4 linked regions of the Macaca fascicularis genome follow. The protein of the gene in region 3 purifies or fractionates together with the protein of the main gene of each other region. This does not show direct contact. Links are inferred from orthologs where the notes say so. Each region holds a gene or a part of one and is shown on either strand. Other genes may lie near its edges. The genes, in order: EED, EZH1, PHF1 and EZH2.

The links.
Region 1: the proteins of PHF1 (region 3) and EED purify together in Homo sapiens (affinity purification with mass spectrometry; 8 studies listed by BioGRID and IntAct, with this or other methods). This does not show direct contact. The link is inferred for Macaca fascicularis from reciprocal best matches to the Homo sapiens genes PHF1 and EED.
Region 2: the proteins of PHF1 (region 3) and EZH1 purify together in Homo sapiens (affinity purification with mass spectrometry; 5 studies listed by BioGRID and IntAct, with this or other methods). This does not show direct contact. The link is inferred for Macaca fascicularis from reciprocal best matches to the Homo sapiens genes PHF1 and EZH1.
Region 4: the proteins of PHF1 (region 3) and EZH2 purify together in Homo sapiens (affinity purification with mass spectrometry; 15 studies listed by BioGRID and IntAct, with this or other methods). This does not show direct contact. The link is inferred for Macaca fascicularis from reciprocal best matches to the Homo sapiens genes PHF1 and EZH2.

What each region holds. Positions count from the first base shown.
Region 1 is NC_088388.1:85,287,914-85,293,642, forward strand, and holds the start of EED (polycomb protein EED), read left to right. Parts: upstream 1-2,091; 5' UTR 2,092-2,532; coding exon 2,533-2,646; intron 2,647-5,729. UniProt on the Homo sapiens protein: Polycomb group (PcG) protein. Component of the PRC2/EED-EZH2 complex, which methylates 'Lys-9' and 'Lys-27' of histone H3, leading to transcriptional repression of the affected target gene.
Region 2 is NC_088390.1:63,757,442-63,762,637, reverse strand, and holds the end of EZH1 (histone-lysine N-methyltransferase EZH1), read left to right. Parts: coding exon 1-3; intron 4-403; coding exon 404-485; intron 486-1,268; coding exon 1,269-1,349; intron 1,350-2,106; coding exon 2,107-2,191; intron 2,192-2,472; coding exon 2,473-2,533; 3' UTR 2,534-4,793; downstream 4,794-5,196.
Region 3 is NC_088378.1:138,280,025-138,285,735, reverse strand, and holds the start of PHF1 (PHD finger protein 1), read left to right. Parts: upstream 1-2,031; 5' UTR 2,032-2,893; intron 2,894-3,897; 5' UTR 3,898-3,913; coding exon 3,914-4,072; intron 4,073-4,154; coding exon 4,155-4,236; intron 4,237-4,342; coding exon 4,343-4,438; intron 4,439-4,578; exon of another isoform or gene 4,579-4,764; coding exon of another isoform or gene 4,765-4,768; intron 4,769-4,848; coding exon 4,849-4,949; intron 4,950-5,062; coding exon 5,063-5,211; intron 5,212-5,388; coding exon 5,389-5,484; intron 5,485-5,686; coding exon 5,687-5,711. Other genes in the region: kinesin-like protein KIFC1, read left to right, coding at 1,322-1,366. UniProt on the Homo sapiens protein: Polycomb group (PcG) that specifically binds histone H3 trimethylated at 'Lys-36' (H3K36me3) and recruits the PRC2 complex. Involved in DNA damage response and is recruited at double-strand breaks (DSBs).
Region 4 is NC_088377.1:190,461,369-190,467,172, reverse strand, and holds the end of EZH2 (histone-lysine N-methyltransferase EZH2), read left to right. Parts: intron 1-1,058; coding exon 1,059-1,140; intron 1,141-2,038; coding exon 2,039-2,119; intron 2,120-2,273; coding exon 2,274-2,358; intron 2,359-3,764; coding exon 3,765-3,825; 3' UTR 3,826-4,089; downstream 4,090-5,804. UniProt on the Homo sapiens protein: Polycomb group (PcG) protein. Catalytic subunit of the PRC2/EED-EZH2 complex, which methylates 'Lys-9' (H3K9me) and 'Lys-27' (H3K27me) of histone H3, leading to transcriptional repression of the affected target gene.

The sequences.
Region 1 (5,729 bases), on a different chromosome or scaffold from region 3:
ACCCTTGATATCTGATCACCCTGGCCTTTTTTCAGCACAAATTCTGTTAAGTTGGTTTAGCAAAAATTTCCCCATCCGTGATGTCTCTTCTTAGTAATTTTCCAACCACCAACCCCTCCAACTCTGCTCCTTGACTATAAATTCCCACTCCTTGCTGTAATTTGGAGTTGAGCCTGATCTCTCTCCTATTGTGATAGTCTTGACATCTATCAAAATAGTCCTGAATTAAGTGTTCCTTACTATTTTAACAAGTGTCAGAATATTTTTTCTTTAATGTAGTAACAATAATGTAGTAATATAAACTAATTTCCATTTATCACCCAATTCATCAGAAACATTTTTAAAACGGTTTTTTAAACATTCAAGTTTTAATAAGCCTCTTTAAAATATTTTTGCTTTGTTACAGATAATATGAATGCTGTAAGGCATTTTTCTACCATATGTGTCCTTTATCCAAATGTTCAGCACTTTTCTAATTTTATGACTAGACGTTGACTCCCACTTCCCAGCTCCCACTAATCTCTCACACACGGAGTAATTTTAATTTGAAATGCTGTAGTTGATTATCCTTTACTTGTAGAACTATATTTCAGAAACATCCTTCCTTTTATTGGAAAGATGTTCTCAACAAAGGGAAGGATGTTTCTGTCTGCTGATGAAAATGTCATACCAAAGCACATCTTACTTTCTCAGGAGCTTACTCTACTCTACTCTCATCTCTTCCTCACCAACTGAGGAGTGCTTAGTAGTGCCTGGAACATTGGAAGTGCTGAACAAATGACTGCAGTCATTGAAACCTCAACTTTAATTTTTTTCAGCTTCATTTCAAAGTCTTCACTGCAAAAACCTCTTATTCTGACCTGCCGTTGCTTTACTTCCTTTTCTCATTCTCAACCAAGAGTTGTCTCTTTATCTGCAAAAGAAAGAGTGACTTGCAATCTGCAGATAAGGAAACTGATGTCCTGGTTATAAAGTTATCATGCAGAAATAATTCATGTATACTGGAATTTTATGGATGGTGCACTCTAGGTGGGTAATGACATCTAAAAGAGAAAAGATATACAACATCAAGTAGGTGCCCAAGAAATGGTAGGTCCCTGCCTACCTCCTCATTTTTACAGATGAGGACATTTTTACAGAAGCCCGAATAGATAAGTAGTCACAATCATGTTCTAAGAAAAAAAAAAAAAAGGGTGGCGGATGCCGTATTTTATTTTTCATCATTCTCCGTTTCCTGCTGCTCATTCAGTTATGGTTTCATGGCCCATATAATAATTCCACAAGGCTCACCAATGTTATCTGCCACCTGGTAGAGAATAGATATAGTAACAGAGGCAAATATTTTGGTGAAGTATAACAGTTGTGTTGCCTTCTAGAATTTCATTGTATCTAATGTGCAAAAACAAACAAAACATTGTCGGTTAAGTCTCACAGTCTCATAATAGTTGGAGATGAGCACTGATTCTTAGGCCTTGGCGCAGTTCAGGGCCTATCATACTTTAGCAGCTAAAAAGAGCACTTCGGCTGTAACTCATTGGAATCTAGCTTCGTAATTTTCGGATATTTCTATTTAAGTCTTAACCATTAATGGCAGCAACTGGGAAGGATAATCATTCATTACAATAAATAGTCAATAGAATAAATATCCGACAAGAATTTATGAAACGTCTAGAGTATAATCTGCAGCGCTTTGAAATCCACCCTGGGATTCGGAAACCGGGGAGAAAACTACCTGGTTCAGCAAACGAGAATTCAAACAGAGGAGGGGCTTGGAGGAGGCGGGTCTCCACGAACCCAGCGCAAGAGTACGCCACGGCGCCTGCGCATCCCCTGAAGGGTACTTTCCATTCGCCAGATGGGGGAAGTCAGGGGGAAGCAGGTTACTGTTTTTGTATTTCTATCTTCAAGGAAGAATTAGATTATGAATAGTTCTGTGAATTGTCAGGAAGCGCTATCATCCAAGTCCAAGATTAAGGAAACGTGGCATGCACAGCTAAAGCAAGAGGTGACGTCTTGTATCTTCCCCCATTTCCTGGGACATTGGTGGTGTAGCCCATTCCACAGACTTTCGCTCCCTAGCAGCGGGTCGGAGATCGAAGGAACGGGCCAATTGCGGCTGAAACGTCTTTGGAAGGAGGAAGGGGGTGAGGGAGCATCCCTTTGAGTTTCGCCTCTTCCCGAGGCGGTGGTGGGAAGGGAGACATACTTAATACTGCCCTCTTAATCCAACGGATCTTACATCGTGTAGACTGCCGGGAGGGCGGCGGGAAAAGGGCAAGACGGGAATTGGGGAAGGGAACGAGCCAGGAAGCCGCGCGGGAGGGCGCGCGCGCGCGCCCCTTTTTCAGCAGTGTGGCGGGGTCGCACGCACGCCCGCCTCGGCGGCTGGGCGCGATTTGCGACAGTGGGGGGGGCGGTGGAGGTGGCGGCGGCAGCGGCAACTTTGCGGCAAGCTCGGGCCGGGCTTGCTTGACGGCGGTGTGGCGGAGGCCCCGCCCCAGGCGGCAGGAACCTGGAGGGAGGCGGAGGAATATGTCCGAGAGGGAAGTGTCGACTGCGCCGGCGGGAACAGACATGCCTGCGGCGAAGAAGCAGAAGCTGAGCAGTGACGAGAACAGCAACCCAGACCTCTCTGGAGACGAGAATGTAAGTGCAGCTCCTGGCAGTTAAGAGACTCCGGAGTAAAAGTTTTAAATTCTTTTAAAACGGGGGGCGCGGGGACGAGCGGGCTGCTGTGGGGGGAGGGAGAGGTGTCACTCAGGAAAACGCGGGCGTGCGGGAGAAAATCGAAATTGTCTACGGGGATTTTGATGTGGGGCCGAGAGCAGACAGAAACTAGGCGAAGGAGAGTGGTTCTAGTGTTTGCCTGGGTCTGAGAGGACTGCCCTGAAATCAGTTTGCTTGTGATGGGGAGTGTTTTGGCCTTTGGGGAGATTTAAGGGGAGAGTGCGGGTCTGAGATTCTAATAGTTTAAAAGGCAAGTTAGAGACTTTTCTAAGAAAGTTGGAAGGATGGGGCAGAGTTAGAGACCCTGTTAAAGGAGCGTTAAGGGTTGTCACTCTAAGACCCTTGTGGAATTTTCAGGTTGGAAAGAGATCTTCGATTTGCGGAGTTTGGGGGACTTTATTAAAGGGGGTTTTGTGTCCGCCTCCGTCCTGTCCGCGGAGACCGGGTGCGCCTGAAGGTCGCCTTTTCTGTAGGAGGAGCCGAATTGAGAGGATCGATTTTTGATTTGGGGGTGGGGAGTGACTACTTTTGAGGAAGGAGTAAGAGTGGGCGATTTCTTCTTTGAACGTTTTTACTTAAGATAAAGGGGGGGGGGGCGACCTGGAAGAATTTAGGCAACAGTGGTATAGGCAGATGGGCTATGTATTTAAGGATGGGCTCCTGGCTTCGCCAAGTGCGAGATGTTTTACAATCAGATTTTTTTTAAGTTCTGAAATGGATATTCGTAATCATTCGGTACCAACATTTAACCCAACTGGGTTTTAGTTGACTCACCAGTAAGAGCCGAATTGACATAAATAAGCTTTCAGTTTCATGTTTTAGGTTGATAACCAGTAGGGTCAACGAAATATCTTGACAATTTATTCAAAGATATTACTCCAAAAGGTGATTCTCCTTCTCATGATATATGACAACTTGTGACTATCTTAAAAATCCTTAAAATGTTTCAGAGAGTGGCGTTAAGTTCTTCATTTTCTCAGTTTGGCTAGTTTTAGGAATAAATGTTACATCTTCCACATTCAGTTTCTAAATTCTATGTCATAATTCCTAGCTGGAACATGTAATGGTGTCATGACTAAGATGGGAAAGGATTCTTTTTGCAGAGACAAGATAGATATTCTTGGGATTGTCAGTTTGTGGGATCTTAGACTTGAAATTTCAGGAAGCTTGGGTGTTAAGTGTTACTTTTGTATTTTTCCCCCGATTGTGCGCCCCAGTCTCCCTGTACATTGGGATCGAAGGTTTTTTACCCTCTTTTTATTATTTAGAGACCGTTCATTTTATTTCTGCATTTTCTTAAATTTCCCTAGGAAGATTAGAGAATTAAGAGCACAGATGCTGGATCCAAGTGATAGGTTAAAATTTCTGCTCTATTTTAATCTTGACCTTGAGCTTGACTGACATAATTGTCTTAGTTTCTTAAAAATGAGGATGGTGTTGTGTGGTATTTACCTCATAGAGTATTTGTAAGCATTAAATGAGTTAATATAGCTAAAGTACAAAGAAGAGTGTCTGCCCCATGGTAAGTACTATATACGTGTTATTTATTTATAATAATTACTACTACTTATTTATGATTACATAGAATAATATTTCTGGTCCTTCCACATACTTAATAATCAAGCAAAATATAATGAAACTGTCAAACCTGTTTAGAATGAAGAAACTTGCAGAAGACAAAATAAAGCTTATTTTCTTCTTGCAGACCCTTAAAGGAAAACATATTCTTTGTTGCCGTTTTAAAGCTGTTCAAGACCAAATGATTGGATTAGGTTTTGTTTTGGTTCCTCCGTTTGGATAGACTTAATTTTGTGTGTGTGTGTTTGTGTGCGCGCATCCCTTGGAAGCCTTAATCTTGTAGAGTCTTTTTTTTTTTTTTTTTTTGAGACGGAGTCTCGCTCTGTCACCCAGGCTGGAGTGCAGTGGCCGGATCTCAGCTCACTGCAAGCTCCGCCTCCCGGGTTCACGCCGTTCTCCTCCCTCAGCCTCCCGAGTAGCTGGGACTACAGGCACCCGCCACCGCGCCCGGCTAGTTTTTTGTATTTTTTAGTAGAGACGGGGTTTCACCGTTTTAGCCAGGATGGGAGTCTTTTCAAAATAACATTTTCAGATGTGTGAAATACAGGATATGAGGTTGCAAACAAATTCAGTTATAAAATTGTACACCATTTTATAAAATATTTCTAAAATTTTAGATGTAGCACTATACTATAGTTTATTAGCACATTAAGTAACAAGATCTAGCAGTGGGTCAGATAGTAGTAATGGGCATAAACACTTTTTCGAAGTATAATATAAAAATATTTGATTTCCATTGGTGACAGAGTCACAACTTCAGTAACATTAAGCATGTATGTTACCTAGATAATAATAGAAGGAAGTGCTAAATTTTAAAGGTGGCAAAAATTAAGATGCAAATTTTTTTCCCCATTTGAGTTCACATGCCTTCTGAATTTCATCCATGTACCCCTGACAGGGGCAGTAGTAAGGTAAGGGAGTAGAGAACATTGTATAAAAATGAGTTCAGAAAAAATAAGAGCAATAGTTTTACTCTTCAGGGCGCCAAATAATGGCAAAAGGCCAAAGCAGATGGGGGAAGAATATGTTTTTGAGTTAGAGTTAAGGTAACTTGAGCAGTTACTACTGGTAATGTGAGTCAGAGAATTATAGGCACATATTTTAAATTTATTGTGTATGTTATCTGCCATTTTATTGAACTTTTTGAGATCATATGACTGCAAAATAGTTGGCTTCTGCAAGAGTACTAATGGATGCCTTGGTAGTAAGATCAGAGGACTGAATCTAGAGACTTGTCTTTTTGCTTAAGCAAAAGCAGAGATGCAGGGCATCTCTGTGGCAAGATGCAGGTACAGATTACTGCCCTGTGTCTGTTTCCTCGTTGGGCAAGTGAAGATGGTAGTACCATGTCTGTTGCACAGTATCATTCTTTACTTTGAGAAGGGAATAGGATGGAAGTCAGCCTGTGCATACATTAGACACTC
Region 2 (5,196 bases), on a different chromosome or scaffold from region 3:
GAGGTGAGTGCTATAGTTTTGGCCCACATTCTTACTCGGGGGAGACTGATGAGAAACTCTGATTTTCTGTGGGCCAGGCTTCTTTGAATTAATCTCTAAATAACTCAGCTGTGTTCTCACATGGCCTCTTGGGGAGATCCCACAGAACCGTTTGCAGTACTGAAACCACTGTTCAACTCTTTGGCAACTCCAGACACGAGATGAGGGGCTGTCTTCAGCCTTCAAACTAGTTGGCCTGGGTGGGAATTGGAACAGCATAACTTGAGCTTGCTCTCTTATGATTCGCATCGTGATACTCAGTAAGCACCCATGTGAGATACCACCCAGCCCTTTCTGGGGACAGGATACCGTGCCCTGAGCAGGCAGCCTGATACTCCTATTTGTTATTTGTCTATCTCTCTAGCTCATTTCTCAGGACGAGGCTGATCGTCGCGGAAAGGTCTATGACAAATACATGTCCAGCTTCCTCTTCAACCTCAATAATGGTATGAAGTCTCTTTGTCTTGTTCCAAGGTAGTCTTTTTTTTTTTTTTTCCTTTTTTTTGAGACGGAGTCTTGCTCTGTTGCCCGGGCTGAAGTGCAGTGGCACGATCTTGGCTCACTGCAGCCTCTGCCTCCTGGGTTCAAGTGATTCTCCTGCCTCAGCCTCCTGAGTAGCTGGGACTATAAGCACCCACCACCATGCCCAGCTAATTTTTTGTATTTTTAGTAGAGACTGGATTTCACCATGTTGGCCAGGCTGGTATCGAACTCCTGGCCTCAAGTGATCCACCAGCCTTGGCCTGCCAAAGTGCTGGGATTACAGGAGTGAGCCACTGCGCCCAGCCCCAAGGTGGTCTTTCTACCAGATCGTCCTTGCTGTAGTCCAAGTGTAGATCAGCTCCAAATCTTCCAGCAGATGCACAGAGCAAGGGGGCAGGATCATACTTGGGGATCCCACAGGCCACAGTGCCCTTGCTTTGGAAGAACCTCCATTTCTGGGTTCTGTTCGTAATAGGAGCACTGAGCGCCTTTACCTGAGAAATCTTCCTGCCCGGTAGATGAGAAGATCCATAATTCAAAGAGTGAGGACCCAAAAGGAGAGCTCCCACACAAGGCTGAATTCTGAGGCTGCATGCTTTCCTCTGCTTCTGTTAGCACACTGGGCTTCAAAATTCCCATCAGACTAAAGTGTTTGTTACTATTTAATTGATTTTAAATTCAGGCTGAGAAGCTGTGGAGTTGCCAGCGTGCTCATGGTTTTCCTTGATTTACTTTACTTTATACAGATTTTGTAGTGGATGCTACTCGGAAAGGAAACAAAATTCGATTTGCAAATCATTCAGTGAATCCCAACTGTTATGCCAAAGGTGAGTCCCAGTGACCTGGGAGGTGGGGCGGGCGATGGATGCCTCTTTAATGTGATTTCCATCCGTTGTTGAACCTCTTCCATAGCTGAGCTATTTTTTGTCCAAAGATAATCATGATTAATGTCTGGGATCATTTTAGGCCCCTCTCAATCTTAGTTTTATAATCTGCTTTTTTCAGCGAATACATTATAAACACTTTCCCACAAACATGATTTAACCAGCCTGAGCAACATAGTGAGACCCACCTCACCAAATAATAATAGGCTGGGTGCAGTGGCTCACGCTTGTAATCCCAGCACTTTGGGAGGCCGAGGCAGGTGGATGACTTGAGGCCAGGAGTTCAAGACCAGCCTAGCCAACATGGTGAAACCCCATCTCTACTAAAAATACAAAAATCAGCTGGGCGTGGTGGTATGCACCTGTAGTCCCAGCTACTCAGGTGGCTGAGGCACAAGAATCACTTAACCCTGGAGGCGGAGGTTGCAGTGAGCCAAGAGGTTGCCGTGGCACTCCAGCCTGGGCAACAGAACAAGACTCTGTCTCAAAAAAAAAAAAAAACCCACTAATAATAATAAAGATAATTTTTCTGCCATAATAACAGATCTAAAAGCATAGAGGCAACTACCGTATTGACTACTTCGTAATTCCATTTGATTCATGTTTTCACTGGGAATTTGGAGAAAATCAACCCAGAAGCCTACTGGTTATTGATTTGGAGTTGGGTAGGAACCTAGCCTTGGGTTTATCCTGCTTGCAGTGGTCATGGTGAATGGAGACCATCGGATTGGGATCTTTGCCAAGAGGGCAATTCAAGCTGGCGAAGAGCTCTTCTTTGATTACAGGTGAGGTGCCAGTAATGGTCCTTGGGTTGTGGCCCCGGAACTGGAAAGAGAGGCGTTGGAATAGATTTGGAGGCTCAGGGAGGGTAATGGGGATGGAGGAGAGTCTTCCGGTGAACAAGGCTGTGTCCCTTGTTCTGATATCTGGTGCCTTGCCTCAGAAGTGGGACCATTGTAAACAGCCGTTAAGGAGTGGGAGGGGAAGTGAAACGGAAGGGGACTCCGCCTTTTCAATCACAAAAGTCATGAGAGTAACCTGGTTCCTCCTCCCTGCTCTGGGACAGGTACAGCCAAGCTGATGCTCTCAAGTACGTGGGGATCGAGAGGGAGACCGACGTGCTTTAGCCCTCCCAGGCCCCATGGCAGCATTTATGGTAGCGGCACTGTCTTGGCTTTCATGCTCACACCACTGCTGCTCGAGTCTCCTGCACTGTGTCTCCCACACTGAGAAACCCCCCACCCACTCCCTCTGTAGTGAGGCCTCTGCCATGTCAAGTGGGCACAAAACTGTCTCAATGAGAGGGGAGACAGAGGCAGCTAGGGCTTGGTCTCCCAGGAGAGAGTTGCAGAAATGGGAGACTTTCTCTGGCCTCAGAGGAAGTGAGCACAGGCTGGAGTAGATGACTTATATGTGATTTCGTGTCGGCTCCCCAGGTTGTGGGCCTCAGGAATCAACTTAGGCAGTTCCCCACAAGCACTAGCCTGTAATTGTAGCTTTCCCCATCAGGCGTCCCTATGTCATTGGGGTGCAGGCAAACCTCTGTGATCCGAAGACCTGGAGAGGACAGGCTAAGTGAAGCGTGGTCCCTGGACCCTACAAGTGGTCTGGGTTAGAGGCAGGCCTGGCAGGCAGCACAGACTGAACTCAGAGGTAGACGGGTCACCTTACTACCTCCTCCCTTGTGGCAGGGCTCAAACTGAAAGAGTGTGGGTTCTAAATACAGGCATTTGAGGCTTGGGGAAGGAAAGCTATGCCATCCTTCCTTGGCCAGAGAGGGAGAACCAGCCAGATGATAGTAGTTAAACTGCTATGCTTGGGCCCAGGAGGCTTTGAGAAAGCCTTCTCTGTGTACTCTGGAGATAGACGGAGAAGTGTTTTCAGATTCCTGGGAGCAGACGCCAGTGCCCAGCTCTCCAAAGTTCTGGCTTAGCAGCTGCAGGCAGGCATTATGCTGCTATTGAAGAAGCATTAGGGGTGTGCCTGGCAGGTGTGAGCACCCTGGCTCGCTGGATTTGTAGGTGTTTTCAGGCCTTCCATTCCCCATAGAGGCAAGGCCCAACGGCCAGTGTTGCTTATCTCTTCAGGGTAGGCAGGCATAGGCCTGGACTAGAGAGGAGAAAGATTGGTGTAATCTGCTTTCCTGTCTGTAGTGCCTGCTGTTTGGAAAGGGTGAGTTGGAATATGTGTTCCAAGTTGGGTGAGGGGCTAAATTGCACGTGTTTAGGCTGGCATCCCGTGTGCAGGGCATACTGGTGGAGGGTATGTGAAGTGGGAGAAGAAGCAGGTAGACCACCTGTTCCAGGCTGTGGTGCCACCCTCTCTGGGATTCATGCAGAGCAAAGCACTTTAACCATTTATTTTAGAAGGTCTATAGATTGGGGTAGAGTTTGGGCTAAGGTCTCTAGGGTCCCTGCCCAAATCCCACTCCTGAGGGAGGGGGAAGAAGAGAGAGCGGGAGATTCTCTTCCAGTCCTGTCTCATCTCCTGGGAGAGGCAGAGGAGCGAGCTTCACACAGAATTTCATGTGAATGGGGCCAGCAAGAGCTGCCCTGTGTCCATGGCAGGTGTGCCAGGCTGGCTGGGAACAAGGAATAGTGTGCTGGGTAGAAAGGGCGTGGGCGGGTGTAGATTGGCCTGGGAGTGTTATAGTAGGGAGCAGGCTTCTTCCTTCTTTCTGAGACTCGCAGCCCCCACTTCTTCCCACTCCACTGGTTGTCCCATGAAGGAAGAAGTGGGGTTCCCCCTGACCCAGCTGCCTCTTAGGGTTTGGTGTGAGACATGCACACACACTCACACGCTCTCACTCACCACACTGGAGGGCACACATGCATCCCGCACTCAGCAAATCCTGACAGAAAGCTCTTCCCACCCAAATAGGCCAGGCCCCAGCATGATCCTGAAATCTGCATCTGCCGTGGTTTGTATTCATTGTGCATATCAGGGATACCCTCAAGCTGGACTGTGGGCTCCAAATTACTCATAGAGGAGAAAACCGGAGAAAGATGAAGAGGAGGAGTTAGGTCTGTTTGAAATGCCAGGGGCTGGCCATGAGGAATAGGTGAAAAAAAACTTTTCACCAGCCTTTGAGAGACTAGACTGACCCTACCCTTCCCTCAGTGAGCAGAATCACTGTGGTCAGTCTCCTTCTGTCCCAGCTTCAGTTCATGAATACTCCTGTTCCTCCAGTTTCCCGTCCTTTGTCCCTGCTGTCCCCCACTTTTAAAGATGGGTCTCAACCCCTCCCCACCACGTCATGATGGATGGGGCAAGGTGGTGGGGACTGGGGGAGCCTGGTATACATGCGGCTTCATTGCCAATAAATTTCACGCACTTTAAAAGTCCTGTGGCTTGTGACCTCTTATCTGAATAAAGTGTTAGAATCCATTTTGGCAAGCTGTGTACTGTGTGCTTTGGGGCTGGAAGGATCCAGGGATGGGGTCCAGGAGCAGGTCGGGCCAAAGCATCAGCATTCTGATCCCCACTTACCCACTGAGGTCTGGCAAAGGGGGAGATGGGGGGTCCGGCAAGAGCCAGTCAAGCCCCTGGAAGGTGATGCAAGGATTCTGAGAGCTCCTTCTAGAAATTCCTGAGCCCTCAGGTTAGTTCCCTTAAAATCATCCCACTTATCCCCTAACCACGACGCCAGCTACCACACACAGACTGGGGCTCTGCCACTCTGCTTTATTGGAACGGCTCCGTGTCTGAGAGCACAGCAGGCTCAACCCTGCTTCAGAGTGGAGGCCGGACCAGGCTGGTGAGTGACCAGCAGGACTCATGAGACTTCCAA
Region 3 (5,711 bases):
CTATTCTGGATTTTGGCTGATTGCTTCCTCTTTCCCCCGTACTTTCACTTATTTATCATATTTGGGTGGTGTTAGCGTGATCTATCCATTTAAAAGCTCCTTACTGACTTTTTCACCTAGTGATTTTACCCATCAGTGACCATACCTGGATCCATTATTTCATTAAGGGGTTTTTAAATGGCGATTTTTCTAATCTTAGTTGTTCTGCATTGGTTAGTCATAATTTTTTTATGAAGACATTTGCCTTGCCATCTACTTGGTTTCTCTGAAATTCAGTTCATACAGGAAAAACAAGATAAATGCTGAATTATTTATTGATTTTCAGTATTGAGTTGATACCCTAGCAGCTTCCAAAGGTGACCAATGAATGTTTATCTGAGGGTTATCTTTATTTTTATCTTTATTTTTTTGAGACAGAGACGCTCTGTTGCCTAGACTGGAATTCAATGGCTCAATCATAGCTCACTGTAGCCACCAAAAGTGTTGGGATTACAGGCGTGAGCCACCCAGCCCAGCCACAGTCGTTCCTCTTTCTGATGCTCAAATTGCCCCATTTTGGGCCAATAGGAACCTCCTGGCCGGGTGCGGTGGCTCACGCCTGTAATCCCAACACTTTGGGAGGCCGAGGCGGGTGGATCACGAGCTCAGGAGATGGAGACCATCCTGGCGAACACGGTGAAACCCTGTCTCTACTAAAAATACAAAAAATTAGCCAGGTATGGTGGAGGGCGCCTGTAGTCCCAGCTACTCAGGAGTCTGAGGCAGGAGAATGGCATGAACCTGGGAGGCGGAGCTTGCAGTGAGCATCGAGATCGAGCCACTGCACTCCAGCCTGTGTGACAAAGCAAGACTGTCTCAAAAAAAAAAAAAAAGAACCTCCTTCAGGTTGGCGCCAGTGTCCTTTAGACAGAACTCAAGCAGTCTTTTCAGATTCAACTTGTACATTTCCTCCCCAGATTTCAACTGATCCATTTTCTAAGGAGTCCTAGTTCCTAAATGGGTGTTATTACTCTTTTATCTCGGTTTAAGTATTTTACAGTGAGAGAGGTTGGAGGTCTCTAGTACAGGGTATTGCTGGAAATGAAAGCCTCCTCTCTCTGCTCCTGTATTTTCTTCTGGGGCTTCTATCTCTTCTCAGGCCTTTTAACCTCCTCCAAACCGTGTGCAGAGGAGAACCAACCATAACTGGGACCAGCCTGAACCTGCCTTTGGAGGCCTTATTTCAGTATTTCTGAGGGCAGCCCTAGCATTGGAGGATGGAAGGAGATCTTGGGGAAAATGTATTGGTTACTCTGCAAACTTTTATCCTGTCTACCCCCAGGTGAACCAGTGTGTTATTGGTACTGCCCAGGCCAACAGGAAGTGAAGACGGATCCAGATCTTGTGTTGGGAGTGTGTGTGTGTGTCTGTATCTGTATGTGTATGTATTGGGTGAGGAGTGGGAGGGTTGCTGGAGGGTGCTTTATTGGGTAGAGGGCACCATGTCCCAGGGCTATCAAATAAAGAATAGTTTTTTTTTTTTTTTTAAATAAAGGTTTATCTGCCCAAGAAGGCAGATATTTTCATATCTGTAAAGGTGGGAGCTGTGATCTGTCCCCTCTGCCAAACGTTTGTGTGGGAGGCGGGAGCGGGGGCTGAGGGCTTGGGCTTTTCCTCTCCTTAGCTCTCACCGGTTCTGGACCATGGTCTGGATCATTTTCCCCTCTGCTAATACCCCCTCCCCCGTCCCTCACATCAGGGAGGCGTGCCCTCTAGCTATCCACACCCTCTCCTTGGTCACTAGTTATCTAGATAAGTTTCACCCTTCCGCCGGCCACCCCAGCCCCAGGGAGCAACGTTCCTTTGGTGGGTGTCGGCAAATGGGGACCGGACCCCGGAGTCCAGAGGCGGGGCTAGCGCGCGCTCCCAAACTGCTGGCTCTTTCCTCCCGCCCTTTCCCTGCCTTTCCGTTCGAACGGCTGGGGCTCTGCCCGCTCGTTGCCCATTGGCTGGCTCTCGGTGGCGTCACCGCCTCGGGTCCTTGCCCCCTTCGTCTTTGCGCCAGCCCTGGAAGCACGGGGCGGGACGTACCCGGGAAGCGGCGCGCACGCCCGCCGACTCCCTCTCGCCAACCGCCGACGGCCGCCGCCCCGTGAAGGAGGAGCTCAGTCCTCCCAGGTGCCGCGCGCAGGAGGGGACACGCGTGCGCAAAAGGGCGGCGGGTGGGGCGCGACTTGCCACGGGGAGGGCGGGGCTGGGGCTAACGGCGAGTGGAGGGCGGGGCGCGCGAGGGAGGAGGGCGTGGTGGGGGCATCGAGAAGGGTGAATGGAGGGCGGGGCCGTGAACTGGGGCCGGGGGGCGGGACTTGGAGTGACCATGGGGGGTGGGGCAGTTAACGGATGTGGCATGGGGCGGGGGACCAGTCCGGAGGCGCGCTGCCGGGAGGGGGGATTCCCTCGTGCCCCAAGGGCGAGTCTCAGGTCGGAGGAAGGGGCTGAGGGGATTCCCTCTCCCACCGGGTCCGACTGTTTGCTTCCCAAGCCGTGGAGGGCCTGCCTCTTCCTCGGCACCCTCCAGGCCTGTCGGAGGTGAGGGAGGTGGGGTGAGGTGGTGCCCGCCCCCCCCTCCGGCTCCTCCTTCCCCCCAGTCCTCCCCTCCCACCACCCTCCCCCCCAACCGGTCCGTCCCTCCCCTCCCTCCCCCCCGCCGCCTCCTCCTCCTGCCGCTGCTGCTGCTTTGGCTGCTGCGTCATACGCCCCAGAGCCGCCGGGACGGAGGGGCTGGGCCTGGGGACCCCCCGGCCTCCGCCTGCACAACCCCCCCACGCCCGGACGTGCCCTCTCCGCGCGGGGGACTCGCCTAGGTCTCCTACGTCTGCCCCTGCCCGGCTCCTGGCGGCCCCAGCTGTCACCGGTAAGGAGGCGGCAGGAGGCGCCGGTGGGGGGCAGGGAGCCGGGGGTCGGCGCGGGGCGCGGGCGGGAGAGCCTCGCCGCCTTGGCCTCGGGTCCGAGCTGGGCCGACTCAAGTCCCTTCTCGGACTTGCGGTCCTGGGGAGTGGAGACCAGGACTGGGACACGCCCCCCTCCCGGGGCACTCGGAGAAGTTGTCTAACCCGGGGGCAGGGAGCCCCGAATTTGAGGGTGACCTGACATAACCTGGCACCAGGATGATTGTTCTTAATGAGACACGCAGGCCTGGGGAGACAGCCGTTTCTGCTCTGGAAAACATCTCCAGAAAAGGTCCCAAAACACATCTCTGGGCAACAGGACACCCTAATTATGATACCTCTAAACTGAGTGGTAGCCTTTGCTTCTACAACCGTAATTTCTCCTAAAATTTCAAGGCCAGGATATAATATCCCAGGAGAGCTCTGGAAGCTGGGAAACTAGCAACTAGGTTTGGGGTTGGGGGGAGGGCAGTTACCGTGAGGAGAGCCAGTCACTAGAGTTGAAAGAGGACTCAAGAAGCTGGTGATGGGTGCCTGGTGGTTTCCTATCCAGGTGTCTCAGGGATTTGGAGATGGGGGCACAGATCCTTCATTCTTGACGGCAAAATAGGCAAAGAAAATGGGGAAGTTGGCCGGGCGCGGTGGCTCACGCCTGTAATCCCAACACTTTGGGAAGCTGAGGTGGGTGGATCATGAGGTCAGGAGTTCGAGACCAGTTTGGCCAACATGGCCAACACCCCCTCTCTACTAAAAATACAAAAAATAGCCAGGCGTGGTGGTGGGTAGACCTTTAATCCCACCTACTTGGGAGGCTGAGGCAGGAGAATTGCCTGAACCCAGGAGGTGATGGTTGCAGTGAGCCAAGATTGTCCAGCCTGGGCGACAGAGCAAAACTCCATCTCAGAAAAAAAAAATGGGGAAGCTTTCTGAGCATTCATAACCTTCTCCTCCCCATTTCTTTTCTGGCTAGGCCCCCCCAGGATGCAATGGCGCAGCCCCCCCGGCTGAGCCGCTCTGGTACCTCCTCACTTTGGGACCCAGCTTCTCCTGCTCCCACCTCTGGCCCCAGGCCTCGACTTTGGGAGGGTCAAGATGTGCTGGCCAGATGGACTGATGGGCTGCTATACTTGGGTACCATCAAAAAGGTAAGACCTACTTCTGATCTTTTTCCTATTTCCCTTATCTAATTCTGGTTCCCATTTCATTCTCTTTGCTCACCCATTCCAGGTGGACAGTGCTAGAGAGGTGTGTCTGGTCCAGTTTGAGGATGATTCGCAGTTTCTGGTTCTATGGAAAGACATTAGCCCTGGTAAGACTAGAGACCTGAGATTGCACATCCCATGGAAAACAAACCTGGCTTAGAGGGGCAGAAAGAGACTTAAGGGCAGGCCCCGTGACACTGTGTTCTCTCACAGCTGCCCTCCCTGGGGAGGAACTCCTCTGTTGTGTCTGTCGCTCTGAGACTGTGGTCCCTGGGAACCGGCTGGTCAGCTGTGAGAAGTGTCGCCATGGTGAGAGGGCAGGTCACCTGAATGGTCTAGCTTGCTCTTCCCTCCAGGATGGTCCTTATGTCACCTGTCGTGGCCTTAGTCCCCAAGCCACTGCTCTGGCCAGGCTGCTTAGCCCTATCTTAGTCCTCATCCCCTTTCAGCCCAGGGAGAAGCAGCCATGGAAAGGGGTGGTGTAACCTTTGCAAGCAGAGGATGATTTAACTGCATCCTTTTCTAACCATATGACCTTGGACAAGTCCCTTAACCTCTAGGAGCCTCAGTTCCCTGACTCGTAAAATAAGGATCATGTACCCTCTCATCAAGAACATGGTCAAGGATTAAATGAGATGGGTAAAGACTATTCCTGTCCCAATACCAAGCACACACAGGTATGCAATTAGTGGTCTACTATTAACATTATCACTCTTCAGCTTATCACCAGGACTGCCATGTTCCCAGGGCCCCAGCCCCTGGAGAGGGAGAGGGCACATCCTGGGTATGCCGCCAGTGTGTCTTTGCGATCGCCACCAAGGTAAAGGCACTTCCCTGTTACCCCTTCCTGTGAGAGCCTCCCATCCACATCCTCTCCCAAGCCTTTTCCTCTCCCCACCCCTCTGAAGTCATCCACCTGTCCTGTCTCTGCAGAGGGGAGGTGCCCTGAAGAAGGGCCCCTATGCCCGGGCCATGCTGGGTATGAAGCTCTCTCTGCCATATGGACTGAAGGGGCTGGACTGGGATGCTGGACATCTGAGCAACCGACAGCAGAGTTACTGTTACTGTGGTGGCCCTGGGGAGTGAGTAATGAGGGGGAGCAGACTGTGGAATGAATGATGTGGTGGTGCCTCCCAGGAAATGAAGGAAAAAGAACAGGATGAGGGTAGCACTCAGGGGGATGGGAGGTAAGTTTAGGGTTTGGGGCAGTTATGGGGAAGGGGGTTTCTGGAGGCCAGAAGTCCTATGTTCCCCCTCAGGTGGAACCTGAAAATGCTGCAGTGCCGGAGCTGCCTGCAGTGGTTCCATGAGGCCTGCACCCAGTGTCTGAGCAAGCCCCTCCTCTATGGGGACAGGTGAGACCAAGGCAGACTCTCCAGAAGCCAAGGTGTTCTCTTCGTGCTCCACCCTCAGTTCCCATGCCTGTCTCCACTCCAGTCTCTTCCCAATATCTGCAGCATTACCTCACCTGTTTGCCCCATCCTTGCTTGTGAGTCCTCCAGGGGATGGCATAGTTTTCCTGCGTAAGTGTGTGTTCTCCCTCTTGCCCACGTCCAGGTTCTATGAATTTGAATGCTGTGTG
Region 4 (5,804 bases), on a different chromosome or scaffold from region 3:
GCTGAGGCACGTGGATTGCTTGAGCTCAGGAGTTGGGAGACCAGCATGGGCAACATGGCGAGACCCCATTGCTACAAAAAATGCAAAAATTAGCCAGGCATGGTGGTGCATACCTGTAGTCCCAGCTACTTGGGAGCTGAGGGAGGAAGATCGCTTGAGCCTGGGAGGTTGAGGCTGCAGTGAGCCATATTTGTGCCACTGCTCTCCAGCCTGGGCAACAAAGTGAGACCCTGTCTCAGAGGAAAACAAAACAAAACAGGATTGCTTGGTTCTAGCCACATTCAGCTTTTCTCATCTATGGTCAGCAGGGAGAACAGGAGCTTTACCATAGAGTGTCCTGCTTAATCCACAACCTGGTTGATAAGGATGTAGAAACAACAGTGTCATTAGTTATTCACCTTCTAAATTGTTGAGTTACCGAAAAATCATAGGGCTAGCTTCAATTTGGAACCAACTCACCCCAATTTTTTTTTTTGAGATGGAGTTTCGCTCTTGTTGCCCAGGATGGAGTGCGATGGTGCGATCTTGGCCCCCTGCAACCTCCGCCTCCCAGGTTCAAGCGATTCTCCTGCCTCAGCCTCCCGAGTAGCTGGGATTACAGGCATGTGCCACCACGCTCAGCTGATTTTGTGTTTTTAGTAGAGATGGGGTTTCTCCATGTTGGTTAGGCTGGTCCTGAACTGCCGACCTCAGGTGATCTGCCTGCCTCAGCCTCCCAAAGTGCTGGGATTACAGGCGTGAGCCACTGCGGCCAACTTGTGTGTGTGTGTGTGTGTTTTTTTTTTTTTTTTTTTAAGCTCAGCGAGAAGACTTTGGTTCCTCACTTTCTCCAAGGATAATTACTTCAGGATGTGGAAATATTTCTGAGTTGGGGTCCTTAATATACAGTTATTCTTAGATTTATCAGTGTGCAGACTGAATGGGAAAGAGAACTTGGCTGTAGTGACCCTTTTTGTTTTCTTCCGAAGGTCCAGTATTCACTGTGTGTGCTTTTGCATGTGCTGTCAGACTTGATCACCTTTATCCAAAAGAATTTTCTCTTGTGTCTTTCTTTTTAGATTATTTCTCAAGATGAAGCTGACAGAAGAGGGAAAGTATATGATAAATACATGTGCAGCTTTCTGTTCAACTTGAACAATGGTATGTATCTGAGCTGGGAGGCAGTGAGTTCCTCTGAGTTGCATGTGGCAGCCTTCTGCCTGCCAAGTGTTCAGAAACGAGGGTGGAGGTCAGTGAGGTGACCAGAAGGAGGATCTCCTTAGAGGCATCGGGGGCTGCTTGCTTGAAAGGAACTGGAGCAAGGAATTCCTCAGGGAGCAGATGGACTAGGTGTGCAGGAAACCGCCTCTCTGAAGCCCTGGCCATCTGTGAGTGGCGCTGTACCAGTGTCTGGCTGTGACGGGGATGTTGTGCTCTTGCTGCCTCACCTCTTGTGTTCAGGCAGCTCAGCTCACCTCCTGCAGTCAGTGCCTCGGAGCTGGGAAGGAGGGGAGGAGCCAGACTCCCCTGGATATTCTCAAAGGACTGGGAGGAAAGGCAGTTGCTTTCATAGCTGATGTTCTGGGGTAGAATGTAAGTCTGTAGGGATATTTCTGGTGGGATTGTTCTGGTGGGAGGTTGGCTTAACATGTAAGATATTCAGAGAAACTCTTAGTTGGAACAAGTAGAATAGATTTTTTCTAGGAATGCTTTATAGACATTATAAAAAAAACTAATGTTAAATGAATTGATGTTCAGAAGAATTTTGTCAGATTCTTTTTAATTTTTTTTTTATTTTGCTTAGTAATGTATGTTTATAGTTGATAATTAATAGCTTTTGTGTCAGATAACCATCTTGAATTATAGGTGATTAATTTTAACCTGGAACAATAGTGTGTTCTTCCAAATGTCATTTCTTACTGAATGAAGTTGCTTGAATGATTTATTTGCTTTTGCAGGCAAACCCTGAAGAACTATAACCGGTTGCATTTACAGAATCATAATAACTTGATTTACTTATAACTGAAATTATTCACTGGGCTCATTTTCCTCTTTTTAGATTTTGTGGTGGATGCAACCCGCAAGGGTAACAAAATTCGTTTTGCAAATCATTCGGTAAATCCAAACTGCTATGCAAAAGGTAGGTATCTTTGACGTCAGAATTGGAACTCCCTTTTTAATCCTGTGATGATGGACTTGAATACTTCTGGGATAGTTGTTTGTTATGTGAACAAGTCAGTTAACCTCCCGTGGCCTGTCTTCATGCTCACTGACACCAGTGTGTCTCTTTCCAGTTATGATGGTTAACGGCGATCACAGGATAGGTATTTTTGCCAAGAGAGCCATCCAGACTGGTGAAGAGCTGTTTTTTGATTACAGGTTGGTAAAGTACATTTCTAACATGATCTCTAAGGGCTTTTTCTACTGGATCGTGAACGCTGGGCGAAGGATTTTTTTAGTTCTTTGCTAGATGTGCTGAGGGGTGGGGGTGAGTTGTTTTGACGGGTCACTTTGCCTTGAGCATTAGTGGGGAATTAGGTTATACTTTCCTGTTATGTATTCACGATCCATTTATTTATTATAAAAGTCATGCTTATTTTAAAAATAGAATCAAATCCATGCAGAAAGCCCCGTTTCTCACCCTGCTGTTGACAGCTGGGTGAGTCCTAGACCTTCTCATATCATGCCGCATGCTGCATGCTTGCTTGTGGAGCGTTTTTCCAGATAAGTGTGATCACACTGTCCTATAGATTTTTCTGCAACATGGTTTTACTTGACAATATACTATGTATATCTTTACTGATTAGATCTACTTAATTTATTGTTTGCTATAATACTTATTACACGTATCATTACCATTTTAAAAGGTGCTGTTGGCAAATCACTGTCTGGTCACCCTGTGGGGATGCCTGGGACATGTGGGCCACCGATGGTATCTGTGTGGTTAGGCATTAGGCTGCCAGTTGACACAGTCAAGCTCTGTGGGATACATTTAAGTCATCCATTGAATACAGATTTAGGTGCAGTCAGATGACTGTCTAGTTAATGAACTCCTGTGGTCCCATGTACATCCCATCCAGAAGCTGTCTTTGAGTACTGAGTTCTTGAATATTCAGGCTGGCCTTTAATGGCTGTTGCATAGCCGAGAGCTCTCAGTGAGGCAGACAGGGTCTGAGTGAAAGGCCTACTTTACTGAGGGCCGCTGCCTTCATTCCAGGCCGGCTCTGAATGAAGAGTGTGGGGTGGAGCTGGGGTTGGAGGCAAAGCCATCCAGTTTCCTTGGGAGGGCCTGGTGGCCCCACCCACTATTTCTGGGTGTCCACTGTACTCCAGTTCTTTCTTCACCTGGGGGAACAACTGGCGGGCTGCTCTTTGGCCCTCTTTGCCATGGTCATCGTTTTTTTCCAGACCATGGTTTTATTTTGCCTTTCCACCGTCGGACCTAAACATCATGATGTGGACCAGCCTTCCTGGGGCCACTTGCTTCAGAGGCATAGGGGAGGCTGGGCAAGCTCTGGAAATGCTTGTAGACAGGTTTGTTCAGTTCAGAACTTGGCAGCGTCTCACTTAGATGGCCAGCAACACAGACCTACGCATTGCCTTCTACGAGTGTGCCCTTATGCAGGCAGCTGTATAATTGGATGGTTTTTTGTTTTGTTTTGTTTTGTTTTAAGACATTTTAATGCACCCACTGTCTTCAGCAGGCTTTGTTGTGTTAAGTAAGTCTCAGCACATGTTGGATGGGTGGTCATCCAGCGGACTTCTGCTTCTTCCTGTTGTTTCAGATACAGCCAGGCTGATGCCCTGAAGTATGTCGGCATCGAAAGAGAAATGGAAATCCCTTGACATCTGCTACCTCCTCCCCCTCCTCTCTGAAACAGCTGCCTTAGCTTCAGGAACCTCGAGTACTGTGGGCAATTTAGAAAAAGAAAATGCAGTTTGAAATTCTGAATTTGCAAAGTACTGTAAGAATAATTTATAGTAATGAGTTTAAAAATCAACTTTTTATTGCCTTCTCACCAGCTGCAAAGTGTTTTGTACCAGTGAATTTTTGCAATAATGCAGTATGGTACATTTTTCAACTTTGAATAAAGAATACTTGAACTTGTCCTTGTTGAGTCATCTCTCATAACATGTCAATAACTGCTTTTAGTACTGCCCAACAAAAAACTTTTAAATTTACCTCCTTGAGTTTTTTAGTTGTCTTTGTATGAATCTTGATTTTAACTAATACTGCCTGGTAATATGTGGAAGACATTCATATATGAAGAACTGCTGTGCATCCTGAGGGCTGACCCAGTAAAGGGCTTGATTTTATAGACAAGACCAGGGTGGGTGGGTACGTTCCAGTCAGCTGTGCAAACTGGAGAAAGTGATTTAACCTCCAAGTCTGTTCCCCATATATAAACTGACAGAGTAGACTTAGCTTATTTTTAAGAACTCACCTAGTTCTAAATGCCGTTAGTCTAGATAGAGTTCTTTAGAAATACAATATAAGTTGGGATTCCTTACCTACCTACTGACAGGTATAACCAAACTAGTTTTATATCTTCTCAAAGAAGAGGTAAAAATCACAAACTCTAAGCATCAAGGAAACAACATGTGCCTTGCATGCCTTACCATGTGGTCGGTCTCAGAATTTGGGGGAATTTCTCTGCACCCTCCCCCGGTACATTCACCAGCAGCATCATGGGAACCCTCACAACCGCTGCAAACCAGACCACACTCAGTTACTTGGCAGTTGCCTTTTCTACAGTTAGATTTTATTTACAATGTGATAGTATTAATGTGAAACCTAATTAAATCGACTCATCTTGCTTTCCGGTTCCACAACATTTGCGAGATCAGGTCTCCATCACATCAGTGCACAGGCGCAGCAACTTGAGTCCTAAAGTTAATTTGCCACTTGATTTGGGATTGAGGAGACCCTCCCTCAGCCTCGTCCCATGGTTTCTTAATGACAGTGCTGATCTATTTTATGTCTACATAACTATCTCCACTCTCACCCAGAAAATGGTCCCATCCACTTAAGAGCTTGTTGCCCTCGATGCCCTCATGTTCCACTCTTGGCACTCAGCAGGACCCTGAGGCAGTTACTTCATTATTTGGGTTAGGTCATTCTCTAGATGGCTCAATGGCCTTGCTTAGGCACAGGTGAAATGGAGCCCATCTGCTCATCATTGCATGTAGGCCTGTTCATGAGACCCCAAAGATTACTTGGGCCCAAAAGTACCTGTTGACATGGCTCATTCCAGCCACAGCCCTCAACCCGTCCTCAGAGGAACAGCTGGGAAATGGATCCTTGAGGCCTCCAGTGAGCACAATGTACCAGAGCCCCAAAGGCATAGGAAAGACAAAGGGGCATGATGGAAAGCAGTAGTTTTTGAGCCCTGTCTGATGTATTCTCAATGCACAGCAAGCTTTTTGTACCATGATTTGAAATGTGCTTCTGTAAATGCCTCTTCAGTGACTTCCATGAACACAGATTTCTGAACAGAAATGCTTGACATAATAACCCATTTGATATAACCTATCAAGCTTGTCTGGCCTGTGGACGGCCGGTTGCATACAGCCCAACACAAATTCGTAAACTGTCTTAAAACATTGAGGTTTTTTGTGAATTTTTTTTTTTTTTTTTTTTAAAGACGGTATTTTGCTCTGTTACTACTCAGCCTGGAGTACAGTGGTGCAGTCTTGGCTCACTGCAACCTCTGCCTCCCAGGTTCAAGCGATTCTCCTGCCTCAGCCTCCTGAATACCTGGGATTATAGGCACAGGCCACCCCACCCGTTTAATTTTTGTGTTTTTAGTAGAGGTGGGGTTTCG